Linked DNA regions of Danio rerio. The protein of the gene in region 1 interacts with the protein of each later gene in a pairwise test. Links are inferred from orthologs where the notes say so. Each region holds a gene or a part of one and is shown on either strand. Other genes may lie near its edges.

Region 1 (5,003 bases):
GGAATGAACCGCCAACTTATCCAGCACATGTTTTATGCAGCAGATGCCCTTCCAGCTGCAACCCAGTACTGGGACACACTAAATTAATTTGGCATTTTTGTTATAATGCTGCTCTGTGCAGTCTAATAAAACACACAACATATCAAATAAGTATCTTTGGTGATTCCCTGTTGTCTATGAAACTAGAAATCAATAGTATATTATGTCATTACCATGTTGACAGAACACAGCCTGTGTCACCTGTTGAAATTGCTTATTTGGTGTAATGTTCAGTTGAAGTCAGAATTATTATCCCCCCTTTGATATTCTTTCTTTTTTAAATATTTTCCAAATTATGTTTAACAGAGCAAGGAAAATTTCACAGTATGCCTGATAATATTTTTTATTCTGGAGAAAGTCTTGTTTGTTATATTTTGGCTAGAATAAAAGCAATTTCAAAATCATTAGCCCATTTGAGCTTTTTTTTTTTTGTTTTGAGAAAATTAACAGGGGGTAATAATTCAGGGGCTTTGATAATTCTGACTTCAACTATGCATATAAGTCAGCAACATATATAGCACTGTTCCAGTGCTTTTAATGTAAATAAATCTTACACATTGCGTCTTTAAGGAGGACACAGTTCAAACCTAAAACATGGATAACCATTTTAAATCTTTTTTTCCCCACTTTCCTAAAATTTAGGATGATTCTTTTATTCATTCAATATACAAAAATGTTATGCTGAACGATTTAGGTATTTTATTTCACCCATATTGTCATATTTACTTTTCACAAATGTGATTTGAAACATTTAAGCAGACGTTTGTTCTATAAACAATTAAAGCCATGCAAAAAAAAGTAAGAACCCGCTAAATATATACCCATACACATTTAATAGGCTACTCTGGAAGTGCATGTGGTCTAACAAAACCCAAATAAGCGGATTTTTGCAAACTGACTCGCTTATGCAAACATTAAATTTCAAAGTCCAGAAATGATGTGCTTGATTAAAGCAATATAACATAAAAGAGACGTCGAAGCAACAATCGGGCCCAAAACACAGCTGAAGTTGGGGATTTTTAATGCAGTGCTGAAGGCCGAGCAGCATCACAATGTCGCACTTCTGTGTCCAGCAGCAACTCTAACGCATATAAACATCATTAATAATGCTTAATGTCACTAACAACTGTCTCTTTTCTCAATAATACAGAAACTGATGATTAATGTCTGCATCTGATTCAAATTCTTCAGCAGTCTAAGATGGATCATTCATTGTGCTGGGCTCTTTTGCGCGTTTCTCTCAACTTGGCTCTAAACTTTGGTATTAATGCTGTAAAACCACCAAATATATCAACCGAGCTTACCTTGGTCTTTAATGATGCCAGAAAATGAGCAGCTGATCGGGACGCTCCGCATGATGGGCTGTCATGTGTTTTGATGCCGCTGCAGTGAATCTGTCACCAGTCATGAGATAAGAGCACAACACTGCGATCAAAATCTCCTAAATTCTCAAGTACATCAGCTAAATGTCCACATAGAATGCATTGGATAAAATATATATCTTTATATGAGTGAATCCATATTTGTAGCTATCAGTGCTTTATAGCAAAGCAGCTATATTCATTTTTTAATAAGGTGACTTTTATTTTATTTTCGATCACCGAGGGTGCATATAACAGGTGTAAATAAAAACAAATTCACTTTTTTGTAAACATAAAAATCTCTAATCTACTGTTATAAACATTCGCTTATTTCAAAACTCTATAATTTAATCTTCCGTGCATTTACTTACGTTATTTACTTTTATTTTGTATTTAAAACGCTTCTGCCAAGGACAAATTCTATTGGACTGTGAGGTAACATATGCGGAATTTGAGCCAATCGCAGAACGATGTTCCCACACACGTTCTTCCGACTCATGCACTTCTTGCAAATTAGCCGGGGGCGCGCTGGGCTATCGGCTAAACGGCTAACGGAAGAGGGATAAAGGAAGATCAGACATTTCTCACACAGTAAAGCAGAGTAATCTGCACCAGTGCAAAAAATATTCTGATCTACTCTTACCACACACGGTAGGTCTTCTATTTCATATCGATGCATAGTAAGCAGGTGCACTTTATGAGGTCGTTTGTTAGCTGAGATGCTAAAGGAAGAAATGAGGGTCACAGGACGCTTTTGGTTTGTTTACCTTGTTTATGCTATAGATTTTAGTGTATTTTTAAGTGTTCTCAATTTTAAGTGTTCACTGTTAAATAGCTTTTTTTTAAAACCCTAATCGCCTGTTCAATTAATTAATTGTTTTAATTTTTCCACTCTTATTTATTTTATTTCTTTGCTTACCTCTTTATTTAGTATTTAATGTTTTGTTTACTTGACTTGTATTTTACTTGGGTATATTTAATGTAATAGCTGCTGTGTATTGTAAAACATCAGTAATTACACTGTGCCCTCATCACTTTATTTATTTTGTTGACTAAATTTGCACAATCCGTAGCATAAGGGAGGCACTTAATATGCAGCCACTGCAAAAACATAATTGCTGTGCTCATTTAAACTGTGCATAATTGATAAGCATTGACAGTGGTTTTCATAAGAAGTATTGACTATTTCAGGTTTTTCATTTAATTTTTTTAGGCCAAGCAACTCCCATCTCAGATAAACATGTTCAGTGTGCTGTAATATAATCAAAACCCCACTACAGTCTAGGCAGCGGTGCTTTCTTTCAACACTTCAAAATGGAAACAGAAGCAGTGAGTAAATAAACAGCTTAAAGAACTGTTTTATTTATGTTTTGGTAATGTTTATGTATTTTTTGGTACTTATTTTCTGTTTATTTGCTCCTCAGGAGGTTATCCCTATTTGGCAAAATAAACCGCATGGATCAACTCGTAGCGTGGTGAGACGAATCGGCTCTACGCTGCCTCTTAAACCATGTCCCAGAGCTTGTTTCCAGGTATGGGAATGAAAAATAAAATAAGTGGTCTATACAAGTTTCTTGAACTCAGAATAGTGGACTGCTAGAAACTCCAAGGTTTTATTCCCAGAGAAAACAAGAACTGTTGAAAAAAATCTTCAATGCAGTAAATGTTTGTATATTAAATGCTATACAAATTTGTTTTTACATGTGGTGATGAAATTATAACAATTTTTTCCAAGGATTTTAGGTCTTTTAGATCTTAAAGATTAGATGACAATTTAAATATTATGCCTGGAAAACGTACATTCGGAAACTTATTTAGATATTATTAATTGATGGTTTGGTTTATATTTAAAAAACAAAGTATATTAGATTTTTTTTGCAGGAAAACTTACTGTCATATACAGTAAGTTGTGTGACTAACATATTTTTAATTAGCTAATGATGTACAGATTTAATTTAACATATTTAAAAAAAAAAGAAGTTAATATTCCTTTTATTCCCTGGGGGCAGTCAGCTATGACTGCAAATAGTCAGTGTGATTTTATTTGTTTACTCTTTTGACTGATTGAATTAGAGCCATATTTAAGATAAAGAAAGTTGTTTTTTATCCACCAAGACTGAAAAAAATGTTGTTTATTACAATTGTATATATAGTAAAATCTTTCAAAAAGTTATTTAGAATTTATAAGGGTAAAAATGTTACTTTATAGAGATGCTTTAAATCAGGGGTCACCAATCTCATTCCTGGAGGTCCGGTGTCCTGCTGTGTTTACCTTGCCTCAACACACCTGCCTGGGTGTTTCAAGTATACCTAGTAAGACCTTGATTACCATGTTCAGGTATGTTTGATTAGTGTTGGAGCAAAAATCTGCAGGACACCGGACCTCCAGGAACAAGTCTGGTGATCCCTGCTTTAAATGGTCATGATCCCCCCCCCAAATCCCCAGGTCTGAATGCAGACACAGTAGATAGCAGTGCAGCAGGTCTCTTTCCCTCTCTATTCCAACAATTAACCCTGCCGGTAATGCAGAGGATTTTAAACATTGGCGAACACAGCAGCACTGACAGAGGTGATGTGTCTGAATGGTAACGAACTCAACTGATAAAAGACAAAGTCTGCCATTCTTTAACTCTCGTACGGCTCTCCCGACAAAACTGCTTTCTGCAAACAATCAGTTTTGCTGTATCGGCCCTGACAGAATCGCGGAGAAAAACATGCAACAAACCCTGTGGATCATGGAAACAAACACATGCGACCCGTGCATGGACGCGGTCTTACCCAGTCAATGGCTGTCTCACAGCTTGGCAGGTCTGTCTTGCCTTCGGAAAGCTTGTGCTCTTATGAATAATTAAGAAGCAGGGTCTTCTCATAGGATAAGAAAACTTCGCTATGAATAATAATGAGAAACCGAGGCGTCATCACTCCACTAGCAGATTCGAGCTACATCACCGATTTTGATTCTGCCACAAAAGTATTTTAAACCTGGAAGACTAAATTAGTTGACAAGCTCAAAATTATCCAGTTTTTCCCTCAATTAGAGCTGATAGGTGCTAATGTTGTCTTACCTGATGCTCAAGACACGCAAATCTGTTAAAATGTCAAAAAAAAGTACTCCAGGGTGTCTTGAACCTTTAAAGAGATGTTTTTGGTCTTATGTTTTCCAGGAACTCCCAGGCCTTCCTTCAATGCGTTCACTTGACGGTCCGCTTGTGCCCACGCTAGCAGACATTGCCTGGATTGCAGATGATGAAGAGGAGACATATGCGAGAGTCAGGTAAGTCTGTCAGACTGATGCACTTTTCTTCACTGAGTGCATTGATTCTTAATTCCGGTCCTTGGGGGGGGCCCCCAACCCTGCACGTTTAGTATGTCTTTCTTATTTTACACACAAGGATCAGTTCATTGAAATATATGTTAATAAGCTGATGATCTGAATCAGGTATGTTAAGGAAGACATAAGGTACACGAGGTCCGGAGTTGAGAAACACTGACATATAGTCAACATGGCAACAACACACTGCTAGCACATCTTAAGCAAGCCCATTTAACTACTGAGATATTGTGACATATAAGTTTCTTAAAGAAAATTCCGGACTGCAATTG
Region 2 (3,685 bases), on another chromosome or scaffold:
TTATACTTTGCAACTAGCCTGCTCCAAGAGCACTCTGAAGCAGGTTTCATTCAGGATGTCTCTGTAGATCCCTGCATTCATCTTTCGCTCTATCCTGACTAGTCTTCCAGTTCCTTCAGCTGAAAAACATCCCCATTGCATGATGCTGCCACCACCATGCTTCACTGTAGGGATGGTATTAGCCTGGTGATAAGGGGTGCCTGGTTTTCTCTAAATGTAACGCCAGGCATTCACTCCAAAGAGTTAAATTTTAGTTTTATTAGACCAGAGAATTTTGTTTCTTATGGTCTGAGTCCTTCAGATGCCTTTTGGCAAATTCCAGGTGGGAAGTGCCTTCTGTCTGGCCACTCTACCATACAAGTCATTTACGTACAGATGGATGTCCTTCTGTAACGTCCACTTCTTTCCACAGAAGAATGCTGGAGCTGACAGAGTGACCATCGGGTTATCAGTGGAAACGGAATGTACCTGAGCTTAATTTAGAGTTTCACAGCAAAGGCTGTGAATACTGATATACATGTGATTTTTCCCGTTTTTTTTGTTTGTTTTTTTTTTCGATAAATTTACAACAATTTCAAAAAGTATTTTTTTTTCTCATTGTCATTATGGGGTATTGTGTGTAGAATTTTGAGGAAATAAATTAATTTAATCATTTTTTAAATAAGGCTGTAACATAAAAAATGTTGAAAAAGTGAAGCGTTAAGAATAATTTCCACATACAGTGTATATAGACTATATTTTTTGGTGCATTTTAAACAAAAGGGTTTTATTTAACAGTTCCATTCATTAAAATAAGTCTTCGCTCACCAGACATCTTTAGGTATAGAAAAATAATACATTTAAATTCAAACAAGATATTGCAAAAAAAAAACTAGAAAATGCCAACAATTTTATATTTTTGTTATTAAATATCTAATCATATGTTTATAAAGTTTTTATTTATTTATTTTGATAATGAAACCAAATCAAATTATAATTATACAAATTATAATAGATCAAATAGACTCAATCAGAAATAAAATATCTTAAATGAAAACGATGTATAAACGATCATATAGATGAAGATTAAACAAACTCGATAAAATAAACTAATTAGATAAAATACATCTGCATTATTGAGTAAGGGCTTGATATAATCTTCACAATAAATTCATTAGTAGTATGAATTGGTCACATTTAAGAAAAAGTTAACGATTTAATTGGTTAATATGACTCGCTTCATATGTTTCTGTTAATTTTCTGAATGAAAGTAATGGGACCCTACTGAAAAAAACAGCTTAAACCAGCCTAGGCTGGTTGGCTGGTTTTAGCTGGTCGACCAGGCTGGTTTTAGAGGGGTTTTGGACATTTCCAGGCTGGTTTCCAGCCATTTCCAGCCTGGTCTTAGCTGGTCAGGCTGGGAGATGACCAGCTAAAACCAGCTTGACCAGCCTAGCCAGGCTGGTAGCCCAGTCAAAATCAGCTATGTCCAGCTTAAACCAGGGTGGTCAAGCTGGTTTTAGCTGGATTTAGCTGGCCATTTACCAGCTAAGACCAATGGCTGGAAACCAGCCTGGAAATGGCCAAAACCCTTTTAAAACCAGCCAACCAGCCTAGGCTGGTTTAAGCTAGATTTTTCAGCAGGGGAGTTCCCAGATTGGTGGGCGAGAGAGTTGTTTTTCTACTAGTTACCCGATGGGCTCACATCGGGTTTTCTCTATACTTGCATCAATGATTCTGTGATTGATTCCGTGGTCTGTTAACAAATGCTGGGAATGTGCACTTATCCTGGCTATAAACATCAGGCTTGACATAGCGGCTCGTTCTCATACTGGATCTGCAAACGTGAGAAAGATTGCAAACTTGCATACATTTTGTAATGTTTATTTTTAAGATGTAAAAAATAAAAATAATCAATGTAAACATTTAAATGCTTTGTTTGGCATCTGAGAACATTTTTAGAATCATTATAAAATAAGTTGAAATATTTGAACCATTTCACCGATACTGACAGTTTGAATAAATATGTGGTGTCACTTAACAGTGATCATAAACGGCTACGGAGTTATTTCTCAATTCAAATAAGTAGCGGTTTGAACCTGAAAACACTCTTCCATACATCACAACTGAAGTGTATGAAGGCTAATGTTTGTGATGTATTTGTACAGAGGCACGTCTCCAGGAGAAACCAAGCTGCTGGCCTCTGAGATCTACGAGATCCTGCAGAACTCCAGCAGTGCAGAGGCTGAACAGGCAGAAGCCGGAGCCTCCTGTAGAAGAAAAGCCCAGTTCTTCCTGGGCGCAACCAACAAACGGGCCAAAACTGTGGTGCTTCAGATTGATGGGCTTGATGATTCGGTAAGCACAGACAATTGCTTTGTAATGGAGCGTTAAGAGATTTGGTTTTGGCTCAATGTGACTTCTATCTCTGGGTTTTCTTTGTCAGTCTCGGAGGAGTCTTTGTGAGGAGGCTCTGCTGAAGATTAAAGGAGTCATCAGTTTTACCTTTCAGATGGCCGTGAAGAGATGCGTGGTCAGAATCCGCTCAGACCTGAAGGCAGAGGTCAGTTCCCAATCGAACACTGTCCATTTAGAAGAACACATCTGAGAATTAAAAATTGATTTCATTATAATCATCTATTTTATTTTATTTAAACCATTTTTACATTTCAAATAATGATTTATATAAGAATGAACATAAAATGTGTTCGCCCTCTTGGTAAATTTCAATTTTAAGTATTTTTTCCCCAATTTCTGTTTAAAGGAAAGATATTTTTTTCTACACATTTCTAAACATGCTAGCTTTAAAGCTTTAAAATCAGAAACTCCTTTTCCTCATTTGTTTTTTTCTTTATATTTTCTTTTCTTTAGGCCTTGGGAACTGCTATAGCTTCAACCAAAGTCATGAAGGCACAGCAGGTTGTGAAAGGGGAAGATGGAGCAGAGGTCAGTCAAACAAACAAACACTGACCATAACCAAACACACACACACACAAGAAAGATACACTGTTCAGTGTAGATTAGTTATCCATTTGACTCAAACTGCACTTCCTGTAGCTGACGATGTTGGATATGATTCTGTCTGTCTGATGGCTAAACCCTGCTAAGAGTTACTCTTATTCCCCTCATCACATGATCATTTAGGATGTCACCTTGCCTCTGAAAAAGTCAAAGGGCCTTGCACACACGTACATGCACAGAGTCTGGTAATTGAGGAGAGATGTGTCCTCTCTAGTTGAATTGGAAGGGCGATCTGTACCTGCAGCAGTGCAGTTGTGACCTGTAGTGGCTGCAGAACAGCACCTTTGGAAACCTCTTCATCATACACTTTCATTATTGACCAGCAGGTGGCACAATTGACTAAGAATTAACGTGCTGAATGGAAGAACTAGAAATGATGACATTTCACACTAAACTTTATATATTTTTTTTTTCTGTAAATGAGTGGAAGATTAATCACAATTTAAAAAATGTAATTGTTTTTATTATCTGTTCACCTTTTTGTTCTAAAACATTTTAGTAAATGTTAAATTAAATAAATTACACAAGTATTTTACTATAAAAGCAGAAAAGGTATTATTGTTATTAAAAACAATAATAATTATAGAAATGTATTTTTATTGGACAATATTTTTGTAAACATGTTAATGAAATGTTAAATATTTTATTAAGTTTTAAACAAAAACAATTGGTGCACGATGAATAA

Evidence for each region. The genes of interacting proteins can lie anywhere in the genome.
Region 2: the proteins of mtfr1l (region 1) and armc1 interact in binary tests that used the Homo sapiens proteins (3 or more experiments, as listed by UniProt). The two-hybrid records come from large-scale screens. The link is inferred for Danio rerio from reciprocal best matches to the Homo sapiens genes MTFR1L and ARMC1.

What each region holds. Positions count from the first base shown.
Region 1 is NC_133192.1:26,101,519-26,106,521, forward strand, and holds the start of mtfr1l (mitochondrial fission regulator 1-like), read left to right. Parts: upstream 1-1,915; 5' UTR 1,916-2,051; intron 2,052-2,613; 5' UTR 2,614-2,714; coding exon 2,715-2,729; intron 2,730-2,824; coding exon 2,825-2,932; intron 2,933-4,564; coding exon 4,565-4,674; intron 4,675-5,003. UniProt on the Homo sapiens protein: Mitochondrial protein required for adaptation of miochondrial dynamics to metabolic changes. Regulates mitochondrial morphology at steady state and mediates AMPK-dependent stress-induced mitochondrial fragmentation via the control of OPA1 levels.
Region 2 is NC_133199.1:28,661,637-28,665,321, reverse strand, and holds part of armc1 (armadillo repeat-containing protein 1), read left to right. Parts: intron 1-2,147; coding exon 2,148-2,337; intron 2,338-2,425; coding exon 2,426-2,542; intron 2,543-2,850; coding exon 2,851-2,925; intron 2,926-3,685.